Arabidopsis thaliana: one gene and its partners. The protein of the gene in region 3 purifies or fractionates together with the protein of the main gene of each other region. This does not show direct contact. Each region holds a gene or a part of one and is shown on either strand. Other genes may lie near its edges.

The links.
Region 1: the proteins of AT3G54400 (region 3) and AT5G45280 fractionate together in Arabidopsis thaliana (co-fractionation; one large-scale study listed by BioGRID). This does not show direct contact.
Region 2: the proteins of AT3G54400 (region 3) and AT4G19410 fractionate together in Arabidopsis thaliana (co-fractionation; one large-scale study listed by BioGRID). This does not show direct contact.

The regions. Positions count from the first base shown.
Region 1 is NC_003076.8:18,343,956-18,350,271, reverse strand, and holds AT5G45280 (Pectinacetylesterase family protein), read right to left. Parts: upstream 4,739-6,316; 5' UTR 4,566-4,738; intron 3,412-4,565; 5' UTR 3,411-3,411; coding exon 3,299-3,410; intron 2,926-3,298; coding exon 2,843-2,925; intron 2,735-2,842; coding exon 2,605-2,734; intron 2,507-2,604; coding exon 2,427-2,506; intron 2,288-2,426; coding exon 2,201-2,287; intron 2,108-2,200; coding exon 1,983-2,107; intron 1,892-1,982; coding exon 1,831-1,891; intron 1,744-1,830; coding exon 1,690-1,743; intron 1,599-1,689; coding exon 1,521-1,598; intron 1,430-1,520; coding exon 1,324-1,429; intron 1,241-1,323; coding exon 1,095-1,240; intron 898-1,094; coding exon 784-897; 3' UTR 577-783; downstream 1-576. Other genes in the region: AT5G45290 (RING/U-box superfamily protein), read left to right, coding at 1-102, 198-261. UniProt on the Arabidopsis thaliana protein: Hydrolyzes acetyl esters in homogalacturonan regions of pectin. In type I primary cell wall, galacturonic acid residues of pectin can be acetylated at the O-2 and O-3 positions.
Region 2 is NC_003075.7:10,580,284-10,587,764, forward strand, and holds AT4G19410 (Pectinacetylesterase family protein), read right to left. Parts: upstream 5,579-7,481; 5' UTR 5,345-5,578; intron 4,485-5,344; 5' UTR 4,484-4,484; coding exon 4,372-4,483; intron 4,250-4,371; coding exon 4,167-4,249; intron 3,874-4,166; coding exon 3,744-3,873; intron 3,622-3,743; coding exon 3,542-3,621; intron 3,405-3,541; coding exon 3,318-3,404; intron 3,233-3,317; coding exon 3,108-3,232; intron 2,939-3,107; coding exon 2,878-2,938; intron 2,784-2,877; coding exon 2,730-2,783; intron 2,631-2,729; coding exon 2,553-2,630; intron 2,451-2,552; coding exon 2,345-2,450; intron 2,243-2,344; coding exon 2,097-2,242; intron 2,019-2,096; coding exon 1,979-2,018; coding exon of another isoform or gene 1,905-1,978; exon of another isoform or gene 1,738-1,904; intron 1,707-1,737; exon of another isoform or gene 1,632-1,706; coding exon 1,560-1,631; intron 1,426-1,559; coding exon 1,356-1,425; intron 1,228-1,355; coding exon 1,118-1,227; intron 1,036-1,117; coding exon 921-1,035; intron 839-920; coding exon 754-838; and 2 more. Other genes in the region: AT4G19400 (Profilin family protein), read right to left, coding at 754-838, 921-1,035, 1,118-1,227, 1,356-1,425, 1,560-1,626; AT4G19420 (Pectinacetylesterase family protein), read right to left, coding at 7,221-7,481. UniProt on the Arabidopsis thaliana protein: Hydrolyzes acetyl esters in homogalacturonan regions of pectin. In type I primary cell wall, galacturonic acid residues of pectin can be acetylated at the O-2 and O-3 positions.
Region 3 is NC_003074.8:20,139,410-20,144,320, forward strand, and holds AT3G54400 (Eukaryotic aspartyl protease family protein), read right to left. Parts: upstream 3,355-4,911; 5' UTR 3,191-3,354; coding exon 2,747-3,190; intron 1,950-2,746; coding exon 1,472-1,949; intron 1,238-1,471; coding exon 882-1,237; 3' UTR 616-881; downstream 1-615.

The DNA of each region.
Region 1 (6,316 bases), on a different chromosome or scaffold from region 3:
ATGCCTTGTGGAATATGAAGAAGCAGACTCTATAAGGACACTTCCTTGTCATCATGAATTCCACAAAACCTGTGTAGATAAATGGCTCAAGGAGATTCACAGGTATGAATGTGATATATAATGTGAAGTTTGGTGACAACTAATTTTCCGCCTTTTTGGTGTGTACTAGATTATCTGATGATGTTTTTATGGCGAAGCAGAGTATGTCCGCTGTGTCGAGGAGATATTTGTAGACATGATCCATCATCGGAACAACATTGATTACAGTCTTATAGACATAATGCTGAAAGATTTTGATTCTACAAGAGACCAAGAACATTCATCGGTTTTTGCCTGCAACTGAATCAATATTGTTGTGTGTTTGCTTTTTGTTTCGTAGCTTACAATGGAAAACAAAAGTGACAGTTTAAAAGATGTAAACTTGTATACCAATTTGATCCAGCATATCTGTAAGAAAGTTAATCCATTGATGTTGTGTGTTTCATGAGCATCTTTGTTTCTGTATTGCAACTTCTGTAAATGTAGTCAAACTTAGTAGCTTATGTTCAAAAACATATTAAAAAAACCTTAATTTATAAGATTGATTCTTTATTAAAAAGAATTTAAGAAATTGCGAACCCAATAATAAGAGAGATTGATTATATATAACAGCTTAAACGATTGTAGAAGGGCAAAGGATTTTATTTATTCGAATGAAATTGTATCAATTATATTATTTTACTTTTAAATTTCAAGAACAATATTCCAAAGATGAATAAATTTTAAGACATCAATGAATAAATTTTAGTCTTCAGTAGATACTGCAGGGCAAGTAGGGTTGCAATTAAGCGATGAACAATCTACGTTCTGAAACGTACTCCTCTCAAAGAACCAATCTCCAACCGCCTTAGCCATTTTCTGAAAATAACAAATCCAAAACAATAATGAAAAATATACTACATATTTATGTTTTATTTTCAGGTTTATGAAAGATTCTAAAAAGTCTTAAATGTCATAGAAACCATTTGTAAATTTTTATAAACCCTTCTTAGATCAAAAGTTTGTGGTATTTTCCAATATTATTTTTACTTTGTACAAGAAAATCAAGTGATTACCGTATTCGCGACTGTGGGACCTTTGTCGCCGGACCAAGTGGCAGCGCTTCCACCTTGGCAATGAGCATGGCACGAGTCCAAGAACAATCCGTTCGTCGTCGCGGATCGAACAGGCGCCAACGCAGCCAACACTTGGTCTCTATATCCTGAAATATTATAATAAACCAATCAGTTTAGTCTAGAAGATATTAACCAAATTTGTTCATTAGTTCCGGTAGGTAAAACATACCTTGAACGGTTTGAAGCTGAGCGGCCGTACACTTCTTAAGATCAAGCTTACAAGTCTTCCATGCTTTGCTTTTATCAACAGAGGTTGGTGCCAATACATTCTTGATCTGCAAAAAAAGGAATAAAATTTTTAAATCCAAATCATATCTAGTGTTATTATTTCTACCGAAAACAATAATCATAAAAACAAAATCGAACCTGCCAAGAATCGAAGGCGGCATTGATGACGAAAAGCGGTGTTTGTAAGGTCTTAGCAACGTATTGAGGGAAGAAACACTGTGAAAATATAAACATAAGCGTTTATACAATATAACGAACTCGGAAAAATTTATGCCTTGTATATCAAGTATGTTTTCGATAAATTTACCAAATCAGGCTTCATACTTGAGGTGCAAGAAGCAGGTAGACTCTTTGCAGATCCCTGTAAATAGTGATCGAGATTAGTCGTGATGGGATACACCTGATATATTAGAGAAATATGGCCAAGGAAAAGAGAGATGTATCCTACGTGGGTCGCTACGACTTTGGCGTAGTAGGATTGGATGTAAGATCCTCCAGTGATATCCTTACTGTTCAAACAACAAAATAACAAAGGTTGTTATTTGTTATCTAGGATGCTAGCAATTGTATGTGTGACTCTCTAGAAATTATGAATGTTACCCGTGGATGAAGTAACCAGCGTCAGAAACACATTTGACCTTAGCCGTTTTAGGGAGAGTGGACTTGAACTGGTCGCAATGTAGAATCGCAGCCAATGCTCCAGCTGAACAACCGGAGAGTATAGCCTGAAATTCATGTAACCAAACATTTTAAATTCCAACACTTCAAAAATTCACTAACAATTAGAGAAACATATTTGAAATTATCATTTTTCATACGTTTTGAGCGTTGCTCATTCCCTTAGCCATAAGATCATCGATCACCGCACGCCAAACCCTAGCACCGCGAAAGAACAGCTTGTGCGTCTGAAAATATTCAAATTACACTCTTAAAAATTTGGAACTTCAACTAAATCGTTATGTGATATTCAATATAAATGATTAAAAATCATCCATGTCCCCATTTCAAGTAGTTAAGTTTAACGGTAATGGTCAAGTGAATTACCGGATCAACAGCTTCTATATCACCGGTGAAAGATGAACCATCGCAATACCGAACTTTGATTCTATTCCAATTGTAAAAGTCTGCAAAACACCCAAAATCCGATTCAGTCTCATTGCATAAGAAAACAAATAAAAAATTCGCTGAACAAAATGAAAAGAAATAAAAAAGAATTGAAAACCTGGATTGGTGCTTTGCTTGCCACCCAAGATACCGGAGAAACCAAAGTCTTTGTTCATAAGCTTAGAAGAACCCTTCATTGTACTTTTACGTTGAACGCATGTAGCTATATCAGTGCACCATCCTCCTCCCTAATGTATTCACATAAGTATATACATATTTAATTAATATCATTATATTTTGTACGTAGTTATTTATGATAACATCTAATAAAATGAGAAAATAAAAATAATACTAACTTCCATATGAACGATCCAATTGTTCACTCCTGAGCCCGATCCCTTATCGAAATGGTATGCTGGCGCGCTACCATCCAAACACACTACAGAAAATATAATATATATACAGTAATTAGTTTTTTTTGTTTGTCAAACATAGTAGATAATTAGTTATAACAATGGTTTTATCTACCAAATTTAAAATCCAAGTTAGTCTCATGAGTAAACACCGATAAAGGTTTTATTAATCTGAAGTATCCAAGATAATGAACATTTATATTGAATACCATTTTGAAATTTGGAAGACACAATTTATTTTTTTGGATTTTTAGAAACTTGACTCAAGACCATTTCCAATGTTGGCTCTATTTTTCTTACTATAAAGCCTCATCATTAATTCGATTTTTCTATCTATTCATACTATCCATTCTCGAACCTGATTCCTAATAAGCAATTGAAAATAAAATTATTGTCTACCAGCTCCTTTAGCCACTGCAGATTCAAGATACGTGATGGGCACAGCTCTGGCTCCGATCACCACCACGGCTAGCACTAAAATGCTTGACCACATTTGTTTTAGCCACGTCATTCTATAACAAAAGAAAAAAAGTTATAACTCACAAATTAGTAAAAATGAACTTGTCCGAACCAAACATAATTTATTATGGCTATAATGACAAAATCGAATAGAATGTTAATTATCTCCCAAATAATGTAGAGGATTGACTCTAACAAAAAGCTTTGAGATCAAGCGATGTGTTCGGATCTCAAGTAATCGTACATGTGTTATGTGTAACTTGCACATGGTTTTAATATAAAGCTTATCTTTTGTTGTTTCTGTATCAAAGTAAGAACTTAATGAATTGAGAAAATATATTCTATATTGAAAATATCACCATTGGTCCATTCAAAAAGTTGGGGAAACAAAATGACCAGTCCATGTGTGTGCATTAGTATTTTCCTCGATTGATGTAATCCACCGAAAAATAATTTATAATATTATTACTATAAATACGAAATATATAAATAAATTCCCTTCAATATTAATCATATTAGGAACAACGACTTACTCATAGTTATAATCAGTGAAGACACGAACAACTATTAGAAGGATAAGTTGCAATATTCAATTAGTAATCTTTCGTCCCTATATATTTGTATTAAATGCTATTTAGATGGTACAATGGTAGCTCTATGAACAATGAATGAATTAAAATGTGAGTGTATCCGAAAATACCCTTCTAGACCAAACTTAAACAGACCGCAATTCATGGCGTCGGGAGGGCCAAAATGAGAACCATGCATATGATGAGATTACGACTTATATCATTTTAAATTCAAAAACAATTTTGTTGAAACCAAACATTGCAATTTGTTGTAAGTGGATTATTGGACCGCCAACTAATTGGGGGAAAATAAAATTAAACCACTTCTTGGAAGAAAAAAAATGCCAAAAATAGGATTGAAATCAAAACATTGCAAGATCTTTTCCATCACGATTATATGACCGTAATTGTTTCTCTACTAATAGTTACTTGGTTAAATCCAAGAAATGACTCACAATTAACATATCTAGTTTTCAAAACATATCTAATAAGCTATGGTTGAGTAAGAAAATCTGAGTTTTAACTCGTAGATCAATATGAAAGAACTGGAAACTATCAAAGAAATAATAACAGAAACTTCATTTAAACAAATTCTAATAGAGACTTCATTTTTAGGAAAAGAGACGAAGAAGATTTACCTTGAGAAAATGACTCTTCAGATTCTTATTCACGTAGAGAAGAAAAGAAGTTTTTTTTTACAATGTAAAAATGAGTAACAGAGGACTCTTCGAGAGTAAGGTTTACAAGTTCAAAGAAAGCCATTGATGTCCTCTCTGTTATATAGATGGATACAGAATACCACACGTCGAAAGAAAACCTTTTTTTTTTCTTTTTCTTTTTTGCTTCATTTAATAAAAATAAATATAAAAGTTTTATTGTTACTTTCATGTATTTGCCAGGTCACGAGAATTCAACGTTAAAGACTCTCAAGAAAACTACCTTCGTAGTAATATGACCAGTATTCACATATCGTATATAATCTAATTCCTTTAAGTATTTTGTTCAATTTATTAATAGTTTCACATAAGAATATTACAATAAATAAACAGAAAAATGAATTCTATTTTTGTTTAGTTTATTATAAAGTTTTATGATTTATTATGAGGATGCAGTATTTCTTTTATACGTAGTAGTTGGTACAATAGCGATGACCTATATCGAAATCAAAAGTTATGTCTGGATGGAATCTAAGGAAGCTGCTGTACTAGTGTCCATATCAATTCGGCTCATGAGATGATTTTTGTCTTCAAAACTTTTAAAATTTGAAATTACATGACATTGAATTATTTCTGCAAAAGGAAATTAATTTGCCACGTGTGGTATTGTGTCGGTCCTCCTCCAAATGCACCGAATCAAGTTAATGCGGAATGCCGAGAGTTTAAGACCTAATGCTAATTTACTTACATTATTCTGACTTTTTGTCTTCCTCGTCTTCATAATGTATTCAATAACTTGAATAAATGAATCATTACTTTAATTTTTTACCTTCTTTCTCCACAAATGAATATTAGGGTAGAAGTTAAACAGATTTATATCTCTTCATTATATTTTTGTAAAAAATGATTGATATTGTTTCGGTGCAGAAGTCAAATTATTAAGTAGCTTACTATAATCCTTGAATCGGCGTTCTTTATCCTCAATTAAAAAGATTCTTTATATATAGAAGAACCATATATTCTTGTCATTGAGAAGGTTGTGTGTATCTCATAACCAATTAAAATAAAATGGAAATTTACGTACCAACATGGTGAATTTTTCAATATACGTCAAAAAACCATTTATGATATGCTGGTGGAGGATGTTTCATTATGAAGGTAGATTTATGATCAAAAGAACATCAAACTTATTTAAAATTGTTTGGATATTACAATTATCTGTCTATGTCTATAGGTATATTAGTATTTATTACTATAATTTTAGCGGACTACTTCAAGAAAAGAGAAAAATTATCTCATATTGATTAATGTATAGTTGATAAGTCTGTAATTAGTATGAATCTTGATGTAGTATGTCTAACTATAAAAATAAATGAATTTGGGAAAGATCATTACCAAATGATGTAAGAGGAAGGTAGGGTCCGTGGGACTAGGAGGAGAAAGGGATAAGGAAAGTGGCCTGGAAGATCTGTCGATTACAATTTACCAATTTTTAAAATTCTTTGTTTTTTCTCTAAACAGAAAAAATGAGAATTATGTTATATATTTCCAAAACCAAAACGCGTTTAATAATACAAGTACTAAATAATACAGAGAGAGCATATAGGTTTTGACTTTGACTTTTGAGTCACGACTTTGTTACATTTATTTGAACACATGATGTTTGTATTTAAATAATCTGAAAATTTTGAATATGTGATAGACCATAACATGTAGTCTATAATATTTAAATC
Region 2 (7,481 bases), on a different chromosome or scaffold from region 3:
CACAAACCCAACCTCCATGTACTGTATAGAAGAAACTTATGGTTACAAGTCAGGGCATCTAATCTTGTTTCTTCTTTTTTGGATTTTTCTCTTTCTTATTTTTGGCAAAGAAAATATCTTAACTTCATTATTACTCCCTCTTATAAAGTACATAATTAGTTTGGATATTAATTAAAATTCAAACAAAAATAAATTTCTTTTAAGAAGTTCAAACAATAATTTCTTCATTCTCGATTTCACATTTAGTCCTTGACCATATCAGCAAGAAGAATAAGATAGAGAGATCTCACTACTTCGGCTGAATCATATTGACTGCCTTATTCGCTATGTATGCGTCTCTAAGAGGGTATACTTATGTTCTTATTTAGGTTCTTGATCAGCAATCTCTAGTCTAATCATATTGATGATGATCTGTTCTCACACAACATAATGGTTCTGAAAGGGACTCTCACTTGCTATGAATGGTAATTGCAGGGTGTGTCCACTATGTCCCAAACATGATCCCCACTACCCAAAACAACACCGATGACACCGCTTTCTGATAAAGGAAATCCAACAAGCATTCAGGACTGGAACTGAATCAAAACGACTGTACATGCTGATATGACTTGTTCAAAAACCAATTGATTAAGATGAGATAAAATGAAAAACCAGTTATCGAAACACAAAGATCCTTCACAAAACATAGTCAAAGCTTGTTTACATTGATAACAGAGAACAATGTAAATACTCGTGATTTCGCAAATGATGATGCTAGAAGTTTTTCCGACTCAGCTGCGATGCAAACTGATCAGCTGCAGCCATAGCTTGAGAAGCTGAACCAATTGATCCATCATATCTGCAAATCATAACCATCTTATTTTTGAACTGAAAATGTAAGAGTAAGATATGCACTTGAGCAAAGTATTCAGTGCACTCACAGAGCAACCAACACGTAAACCGCAGTCTGCATAACAATAGCTCCTTCACCAGCAGGCTGGGAAGTGTTTAAACACCTAGCAGCGAACCAGTTCTCATGAATAGATGTTATTATGTCTGCAGATTCCAAATCATATTATTAAACCACAAATCATACTCTCCAAGCAAAAGAAATAAAACCAAACAAACAAACTTTTACATTGGTTGGATCCAAGAACAAAAGTCTCAGTAGGAAGATTGCCACATCTCATGAAATCTATAAATTGCTTTAGATCAACTGGATAGATATCAATCCCTTCTTGTTTAGCTCTGCCAATAACTCAAAATTAAGCATACATCAAAGTTTCGATCTTTTACTGCAAATAACCAATCTAAAAGAACAACCTTTAAGTAGAAACAGAGAGCAGTAGATATTGAAACTTGATGAATTAGCTTACATTGTTGATAAGAGACGAGAAGGTCCTGTAGGATCATAGTTAATCAAAATAGCAGCCTTCAATGGATTACCTGAACAAATTCCAACAATCAAATCACCGAAAAGAAGCATCTTATTCTTTCTTTCTGGGTTCTTCATCTTCTTTTCAAAATCTCCCAAACAAGAAGAAGAATAAAACAATAACCCTAATCCAGAGAGAACTTACCTGAAGAACCAACGTTACCCGTAGTAACCCATTTGTCCCAAGCTCTGTCCACAAACGCCGAATCCATCGATGCTTTTTAATAAAGCAATGATTTTTAGGGTTCTTCACTTCACTACAAAATGAGAGAAGCAGAGCACCGAGTAGTACACAGTCTCTCTCTTTCTCTCTGGATTCGTATAAAAAGTTAAAAACTTTATAGGTAAACTCGATTATAATACAAAGTAAAGATATACTCTTTATTCAAATTGCAGTGATTATTATTGATCCGATTTGGAAAACAAATCCAAAATGTTTGCGAGCTCTTTCAATTTCAAATTAAAAAAAATTGAACATTTAGAGATGATTCTAGTCTTCAGTAGAGATAGCAGGACAAGTAGGATTACAAGTCGGCGACGGACAATCTATCTTCTGAAATGCACTCCGGCCATAAAACCAGTTTCCGACTGCTTTCGCAATTCTCTGCAAAAACAAATAATCAAAATCAGAACTAAAATCGAATTGAAAAGATTTTAAAAGTATTGGAGGATTGAATTTTACCGTATTGGCGACTTGGGGACCTTTGTCACCGGACCAAGAGGCGGCGCTTCCTCCTTGGCAATGAGCGTGACACGAGTCTAAGAACAATCCTCTAGACGGTGTACTGTGAACCGGTGACAATGCTCGCATCATCTGATCTCTAAACCCTGAAATGTTTTAACCAACCCGGTTTAAATTTAAATCTCGATAAACCGAACTGATCGTATTCAAAACCAAACCAATATAAACCGGAACAATTATGGAATTACCTTGGACGGTTTTGAGCTGAGCGGCACTACATTTCTTAAGATCAAGCTTACAATTCTTCCACTCTTTTCCCTTATCAACAGCAGTTGGAGCCAAAACGTTCTTGATCTGAAAAAATCACCAAATTCAGTTTATATGTATCCGATTTGTGTATATTTTATAATGAAATGAATGTTTATGTATATAAGTATATCATGGTTAGTATATGACCTGCCAAGAATCAAAAGCGGCATTGATGACAAAGAGCGGTGTTCGCATGGAAGGAACGACGTATTGCGGGAAGAAACACTGCAAAAAACGATCGGAGAAGTCTTTGATATCGGTCCATATATAGATGGAAAAAAGTGTCAAGATCAACGATGTTGGTATGTTTAGTTAAGCACGTACGAGTTCTGGTTTCATTTTTGAGGTACAAGAAACAGGAAGACTCTTTGCAGATCCCTACAAAAAGATATTAAGCAACACTGACTTTAGGATTCACCTCATGGTTGAAGAGAATTAGCAATTGAGAGATATATTAGATAAAGAGTAATACGTGGAGTGCGACGACTTTGCTGTAATATGATTGAATGTATGATCCTCCTGTGATATCTTTACTGTTTCATAAAATCGAATTCAGTGATAATAATCACTGTTGACATCAAATAAAACCGGTTTGTTTATTTTGGTTGTTATCAGTTTAGGTTGGGTTTAGTAATTTAGTTTAGACTTTCGGTTTGGTTCCATATACTTTTTTGGCCAACGCCTAAGAGTATGTACACGTACCCGTGGATAAAGTAACCGGCATCAGAAACACATTTGACGCTAGCTGTTCGGGGAAGTATGGCACGGAAAGTGTCACAATGAAGAATCGCAGCCAATGCTCCAGCTGAACAACCGGAGAGTATAGCCTGAAAAGTTTTATAAGATGTTAATTTTTTTTAAGTGATACACATTAAAGAAAGAGAGATGTCGAAATATGCACATATAATATACGTTTTGAGCGTTTTTCATTCCTTTAGCCATAAGATCATCAACCACCGCACGCCAAACTCGGGCACCGCGGAAGAACAGCTTGTTTGCCTGAAATTATTCAAGGTTCCGACTATATATAAATCATACAATTTTGACTGCAAGAATTTATAGTACTTCAAGAAAAATGTGAATGTTTTGACTAAAAATAATATTTATGAAATATCACAATTTAGTCACTAAATTACCGGATTAACGGCTTCTACATTGCCGGTAAAGGATGATCCGTCACAATATCGTACTTTGATTCTGTTCCAATTGTAGAAATCTGAGCAAAAGAAAATCATTTTTTTTTTATGAAAATCAAGATAGATTCAACAGCATTAATTGATCATAACTCTCCCACAAACCTCTGGATCATTAGAAACAAAAAAAAAAACAGTAATATACCTGGGTTAGTGCTTTGCTTGCCACCCAAGATACCGGAAAATCCAAAGTCTTTGTTCATGAATTTGGAAGAACCCTTCATTGTACCCTTACGTTCATTACATGAAGCAACGTCGGTACACCATCCTCCTCCCTAACATATAAACAACATATACACTTCATTCAAATTTTATTCAACTAATTCTACCTTATTTTTATGTTACATTTCTTTTCAGTAAAATAATTATTAAAAAAAAAACATAAGATGCTAACGATAAACGCCGCAATGTTTTTAAGTTTTAACTAATCACACAACTATAAAGAACTACGATTTATATATATTAAAAAAAAAAAAAAAAGAACTCGATTTATATGTACAGTCATTTCAACGACAAAAAAATATATCAAGTGGTCCAGAAATTTGCAACAAAAAACAAGTTTCTTTACCTCCATGTGGACGATCCAATTGTTAACACCCGAACCAAACCCTTTGTCAAAATGGTAAGCTGGTGCACTCCCATCCAAACACACTACATAATAAACATATATATATATATATATATATATATATGTTCTCAAAAACTTATTGAATTATCCGATAAATTGTGTAAATATGAATATAAGTATTATGTAAACCGTTGTTGCATATTACCGGCTCCTTTAGCGACGGCGCTTTGGAGATAAGTGATGGGAACGGCTCCAGTTCCGATCACCAACACTGCCAATACTAGCAGACTTGACCAACATTGCTTAAGCCTCCCCATTCTATCATTTTTTGGAAAATAAATAAATAAACAAGCTTACGATTTGGTTAATTTCAATAATAATATAATAGTACATTTCTAATGCGAATTAATTACTGCTTTCATATGGTAACATGCGGACTGACAAATTTATTTATTTTGAAATTACCTACATTTTCGAGTGGATAATATTTTTTATAATTATACTATTATGTAATCCATTGTTTTAAGATTCCTCGAATCCACGTTATTACAAATTGGAAATTTAGACTATTCAAAAGTAGATTATCAGAAATGTCAAATGTGATAACTAGCCAAGAACAAAACAAACAAACAAAAAGACATCCATCGTCCATGTGCGTCTTTAAATATCTTATAGCTTTTCTCAGACCAACTTTTCTAGTTGTCTGTAATTATAACCTTGCTCAGAGTGTAGAGCACTAAACAATTATTATCATTACAAATCTATCATAATTCATTACTTAACATTGCTAATCGGTTTGACAAAAAAAAAAAAAAAAAAAAAAATTGCTAATCGCTATTATGGGATGCTTGTATCTTGAGATACCAAAAATACCCTTTCACATCATCTCAACTTTTACTATGTAAGAAAAATCATATCATCCCCTTATTCATATTCAACTTGTTGGATCGCAGAGAAATGTGTTGAATCGTTTCAAATTATCAATTCCCCGAAGTAACCTTCGATGTCATTCACATTAATGATCTGATATTAATATGCAATCTTCTTGAAATCCTAAATGGCTAATAGTAATATATACTGTAGTTCTAACTAACAAGACTAAAACAAAATATTCAATTTATTCTGAGTACATATCAAACTTGCAGAACTATAAAAAGATCGATACAAATGAAGCATACCTTGCGAAAATGGAGTCCTCTTCTTGTTTGGTTAGAGAGAAGAAAAAGGTTTTGGTGTTAATGAAATGGATAGAGAGGAATCTGAAAGAGAGAGCTTTAAAAGTTTATGGAAGCCAGTCATTGATGTCTTCTTCATCATATAGATACATATCCACAAGTTGCAAATAAAAAATCAAACTTTTTCTTCTTTTTAATTTGCTTTTTTATTTACTCTTTTGCTTTAATTTGCATAAAGTTTTCTTTTTTCTTTTTTCTTTTTATAAGATACTTGTGACTGGCATAGCGTGCACATGTGTTAGTAGATTCGCCAGGTTATCCAACGTCAAGAAACTAAGTTGTATAATTGTTTTTTTTATCAATGTGTTTTCGAAATTGGTTCTTTCATGTTAACCAATCGATAAAAATAAAATGAGATTATGCTCGGACCTTGAGAATACTGATTCTATATGCATATTCATTTAGATATTCAGTTTTTAAAGTTATCATCAATCTTATAAGATGCGTCTTTCTTTTGTTAAACTTTTCACAGTCGTGTTATAATAATTCATCCTAGCTTGTTATCTTTGTAAAACAAAAATCTATGAATCACAATTAAATAAGAAATAAAAAGTATGGTTTGGCACGAGGACTAAAAGTGTCGGTGCACTGCACACCGATCGAGTTAGCTGCGCAACAGCCAAAACATGTTAGAGATTTTTCGTAAAGTAACAAAATTTTAAAGTTCAGACCTTTCTCTTTTTGATCTTTTTATTATAACACGAGTAATTAAGATCTAGAATTAAAATATAATTAGAATTCGTTAAATTTTACGAAATAAAAGGAATAATTGTTACATCTCAAGTGTAATTCCTTTTCATTGATTTTCTCCACTATTTCCTCGGAAAAATGATCGATCCGAAACCGGGTGAAAAATAATACAGATAGCATAATTGCATATGGGTTTCACATAAAACATGAATAATACAAAAAAGTTAAGATTCGTAGCAATACAAATTTATATTTCTCAAATTTTCTTTACAAAATGGCTCGACTATATAACGAAGCTCAACGTGTAAGCCATAAGAGATGACCTCAATCACAAAACTGTGACAATTAATACTAAATTTGTATACAACAATTATAGAAAAAGGAGACTTAAGCTCACTGAGTAACTAACTATATCTAATAGATTTACAAAAAAGCAAACACAAAACATCAAATTTATTTTCAGAAAAATTTTCATTCAAAAAAAAATAATCTCCTCATTCCCAAAAGATCAAACCAATAAACCAATAATGACGTTATGTTTTGAAAATATAAATAGTAGTTGCATTTTTTTTTGATTGGGCCAAAAGGAGAAAAGTGTACAGGGCCCAAACATGTAAACAGAGTCGAATTAAAGTTTTTTCTTAGTACCGTTTAGTCACCGAACCTCTCCGAAGAAACCTGAGATCTGATCATCGAAGTGTTGTATCCATATTATATGGAAATCTTTTAAGAATTTGAAAATAAAGACAAAAAATGTGGTATATAACCAGGTGCCAAACAAACAACCAATTCACAAAATAATGAATTCACTAATTCAGAATGAAAAAGATTGATACAACTGAGAAAAGAATTATACTTTATTTGATAGGATAAAGGTAACAATTTGCATTTTACATCAGAATAGAAGAGAAACAGAGCAATTTAAACAGCACACAAGACAAGTGCTGAAGAAAATTACTCCTATTGCTTATTCTCAACACTCAAGAATTAATCACACTCTTTTTCTTTTTCATCTTCTATAGCTAAACCCTAGGAATATTTCACTATATGTATCTAACAAATGAATCATTTATAAGCAAATTTTCTTTTCAAAATAATAATAAATCTATACTGTATATGGTAGAATCACTTAAATTGGAGGAGCATCTAGAGGAGTGAAAACCCTGTGGTGGCAAGTAGGGTTACAAGGGTAAGGACAATCTATCTTCTGAAACAATGTTCTGTCATAAACCCAATCTCCAACAGCTTTTGCTATTGTCTGCAAATTAAGAAGAAATAATGAATCATGAAAACACAATGTAACATTGATTCTAATGACATTTTGTTTGACAAGAATTTGGAGAATGTTTGCTTTTTTTTGTACCGTTCGGTTTAGAATTGGAGAATCTTG
Region 3 (4,911 bases):
CAAATGCTTTTATTCATTTAGCTATAAAAGCCTTTTTGTATGCTTTTTTTCTCTTTTTAGGTGTATGGTGGAGTGAGTCTGGCTGTTAGCGTTGATGTCAAGCCAAACCGCAAAATCCATTTGGCAAAGATGGGAATGAACCTAATGGAAGTGGGGTTTACACTTGTCACTCTCTCACCCATTCTATGTTCCACTCTTTTTCTTCTCTCATGTTTGCGCAAAGATACTAATTCGGGGTTGTTCCTTTTTCACTTATTGAAAGTGTATATCTTTCAAAACATTCAGAAATTTTGTGGGTTAGTGTTCACTAAAATCTTTGGTTAATTATCAAGTCATCCAAATATTACAAGTACCAAATATTAGGACAAGTCTTTAATTTTCACACCTTTTTTCTTACCTATATGAGAGAAGTTTTGTTGTAAGAGTGAATGTGTTTCCTCGTTAGTGGAGTATGATGAACTATGCAACTTCAAGGCAGCACATCGGACATTTTGGGGTCTACAAGATTATCATCGTAGATTTTTAACGCGCCATTTAGAACTTCTCAGTCTCATTTGGGTGATGAAAATGCCTTCCAAGGCATAATCATTTTTTGTTGACATTTTGGTACTTTCTCATGAAGTTGATGCATATGATTATACTTGGAAGTTGGAACATATATATATTTAAAATAATAAAGGTCCTCTGTTCCAGGCTTATTGCATCCGCAAATTCATGAGTACAATCCTTTTTGAACAGAGAACATCGAAAGAAAATCATACGAAAGATTTTACAATCGTTTGAGAATTAACAAAAATCATTAACTTATATAGTTTCCAAAATTCAAAAGTTCAAAACGCATTACGAAATCGACCGAAAACAAAAATACAAATCGATAAAACTTAGGTGCAAGTTTCACGGGAAATTCCGAGCCTGGAATTTGGAACGTCGATGAGAACTCGGTGGTTCTGTTGCTGCATACTAGCGATGACGTTAAGGACAGAGTTAACGTTGACCGGAGCTGCAGCCATGGCGAGGCAGCTGAGGTTACCTGCGGAGCTGTGGATGAGAAGGTTGTCTGGAGGCAGAGTCACGTTCATTCCGGCGAACATAAACGTCACCGACGGGAACACGACGGAGCCGGAGTAGCATGTGTCGAAACCTCCTAGTGAAGTTGCGTTTGCGTTCTTAACACGTCTCCTGAACTCGTTTCTCACCGCCACGTAAGCTGGTTCGACTAGCCTTGTGTAGACCGTCCCTGCGTACATTCAAAAGTGTTTTGTAATTAAAAATCAAATTTCTTTTCTAAAATATAATTTTTATATGAAAATTTGGATTGGCCATTTTTGTTTTGATTGTAAAATCATTTTTAGTCCAGAAATATCACGTGTTACGTGTGAGAGAGCAGAGCAATTAGGTTACTTCCATCGCACGACTTTTCAGTTCTCAAGCGAAAAATAAAAAATATTAAGGAGGGTTGAGAAGTCCATACCCGAGTCAAAGATGGTGCCGGCTCCGGTGGCCGGATCAAAGGCGAGTGCACTTGTAGGAATATCCACAATTTTGTTTCCGACACGAATCCCAACCAAGTTAACATAGTAAAGCGATGATCTTCTAGGGTTCTTTAACAATGGAGTGGTCTTGATCCGGATCGGTTGGTTCTTAGGTCCCAATCTTAGTGATCCGGAGAAATTGCTGGACTTACTATTAGGCAAGCAATACGAGAATGTAGACTGATAAAGATTTTGTGACTGTGAGATTAAAGACAATGGACCACGACCTAAGCCCATGAGTCCTTGCGCTGGCAACGATGTTCCACTAGCTTTGTTGATGCACCCAAAGGTGTAGTTTGGGATGACGTCACTGGCCAATGTTAGTGTGTCTTGTGTCAGATATGCTTCGATGGTTGAACCACCGTAGGTCATGTTGAAACCACATGATTTGCTTACTGTGCAACTTGGATTTGGAGCCTGCAATAAAAAAAACTCTTTATTGATTAATATTTAGAATTTTTTTTGTTCTTTGAGTTTAACAACGTATTTCCATAAAGAATTGTTTTATCCATCTTGGATCTGGTTATTAAATTGCGCTACTAACGATGTGTTACGTTATTTAATTGCAGTTGTAAGTGGCGTTTTTGTATTATAGGCAAAACCTAACTAGCATGACGACAAAGTATATATATAGATCAAAGTTCAAACAGTAAAATATGCTCTACTAGTTGGATTGTTTATAAATTTCTTGTATAAATAATAATATACCCGTGACTTAGACTCATGGTACCAAAAGGTCCAAAACCCGTGACTAGACTTCTCGATCATGGTGTAATAACACGCCAAAAACGAAGTTCACATTCACATCTTTTGTGTAGATGGATCCAAAAATTGACGTAGAGGCATTCACATTACGCCTGACATTCGGTTCGTATTTCGGTTTTGGTTTTAAATTTCTTGTTTTGTTAAAAATAATCAAGTCCAAATACTAACCATTTTTTTTCTTTCGATTTGAAACATTTATGTATGTTCTGATTAGATCTTGTTTTGAACAAAGTAAAAATGCGAATTATTTGTTAGTATAATTTAAATGTATTTTTTGTATATCGATTTTCCCGGTTTATTCAGTACAAAAGTATCGTTAAGTATGAATGTATGATATGATTCAAAAAAATTACGTTGAGTATAGTTTTCATTTTTCAAGTCCATCCAGAGAATGCATGCACATATCTAATTTATACGGAGGGTATAACTATAAAGCAATATTTAGTTACCTGTTTACACTGAGGAGCTTCGCATTGAAGAGTACGAGAGGAGCTTGACTTGGAAGGGTCAAAGAGAACAGAGGAAGAACAGCCAACGCAGCCAGAACAAGGAATCCAAGCAGCGTCATTGCTAGTGTCAAGAGCCACGAGCATGGGCTGAGCCGGTGTCCCGATGTTAGCCCTCACGATGTAAGTCGGGCTCTGAACGATGGCCCGACCAGAGGCGATTGGAACTGATGATTTCCTAACGCCAGCGAGGCTTGACAAGTATAGGAAACGAGCCTTATCTTGAAGAAGTGTATCTGCCCATGAAACAGAAGTTTTGAATGGAGAACATAGACTGTTAATGTGGAACACTCTTAGATCTGAGGAATGGCTCTTTTCATTGCAGTTTATGGATTCAGATTTCAAGATTAAGAGAGAGATTAACAAAATCAAGAGATGGGATCTCATTGTTTAAGACCTTGATTTTGTCTTTGTGGTTTCTAGTGTTTGTAGAGTGAATGTGTGAGTGTGTGTTTATATAGTGAGTGATATACGATGAGTGTGTAGAAAGTAATAAGAATATAAAAATGAAGAGTGGGGTTTTGTATATCGTAGAGAGAACAGTCTGTATTCCATCTCCTATTTTTTCGTTGTTTCTATCTGTTTTTTGGGTCCACACTAATATTGGCTCTCTTCTCTATCGACATGCGCGTTGCTCTCCATCCACAAAAACTCATTACCCAAGGTGTTGTAATTTTTAGACTCATTATCGAATGGTAATCAAGTCAAACTGGAAGTCTAGCTGATTAATCGGTATATTGACTCTTAGCAAAAAAAAAAAAAAATCGGTATATTGATAAAACCGATTCTCATTCTAACAAAATAGTTACAGTTTTGATAAATATCCAATTTATACAACGATAAGGGAAATAGCAGAGGAACGTGTGGAGTGGTATTGTTTAAGAGATCCGAGAAACTGAGTTGAATTTTTTTTTTCTCAAAGAGAAAGATCAAAGGTTTCACGTGAGGAGTAGAAAGTGGAAGACCGACATAAATGCATTATGTATTGTTGCATATTATGGAATGTATCAAAACTACCCAATACTCATTACCATGTGGTGGGTTATATCTCACATTGGCCTCTTCTCCACTATGTAGTGCTGTCCATCAATTATTAAAAAAATTAATGGTGTAAAGTATCTTCATTGTTGTTTGTTTCTTAAGAGTTGAATGTGATATGTCAATATCCTCTATACTAAAATATTTGATATAATTTGATAGAGTTTTCATGTTGTGTGGATTGAACCAAAGAAAATTTTGACCCTTGTATGTAGTTGTAAGTAGCTTTGCTTGTTCTTAGTCTCCACTTAGTCACTCGTTTTGTAAGAAAAAAAGTGGTTGCAGCGAAAATATAACAAATGTAAAATTTAATAAAGTTACACGATTTAACAAATGTAAGCCAAAAATGAATATCTCGTCGGAAATTTACTCAAAAGTTACACGTCTTAAGCTTACAAACTCACTTTATTTTTCCGATCAACATTCCCTTAAAAAACAACATTGTTTTACTTTCTTCTTTTCTATTTTTTAAAATGTGAAATGCACTTAAAAAGCTTAATTCCTTTTAAACTAATGGAAACAAATTCTTTCAGTGTTTATTAATATCAATGGATCGGATAACTCAAGAGTCTAGATAATGAAGTAACTTATACATAAAAAAACTTTTTAAGTGCGGTTTGCATAATTTAATTTGTTTCCTATTTAGTATATAATAACCCATTTGACTAAATATATAATACTCTTTCTTAAATCTTTAATACTCTTTTTTTTTAATCCCACTAGTTTGCGTGTACGCCACTTCTAAATTTATGTTAGTATCAGACCTTGACCTTAACACTGTACAATGGGAAGAGTCCCAAACATAGTAGGAGTAGTCGGAAATTAGAGCATCTCCATCAGTAGTCTCTCATATAGTTTCTCATTAACTAAAAAATATAAAATGATAATAAAGTAGAAGAGAGATTGAGAATAGTTTCTCTGCAGAGAAACTTTAGAATAATGATTAAGAGACTATGTGTATATGTGTGTTTATAATTGGACAGAAGTTAAATCATAATAAAATATCATTATTTATTTTTTTTAGAAACTTTTTGAAATATCTCACCAATGGAGATTACGCTCTCTTTTTT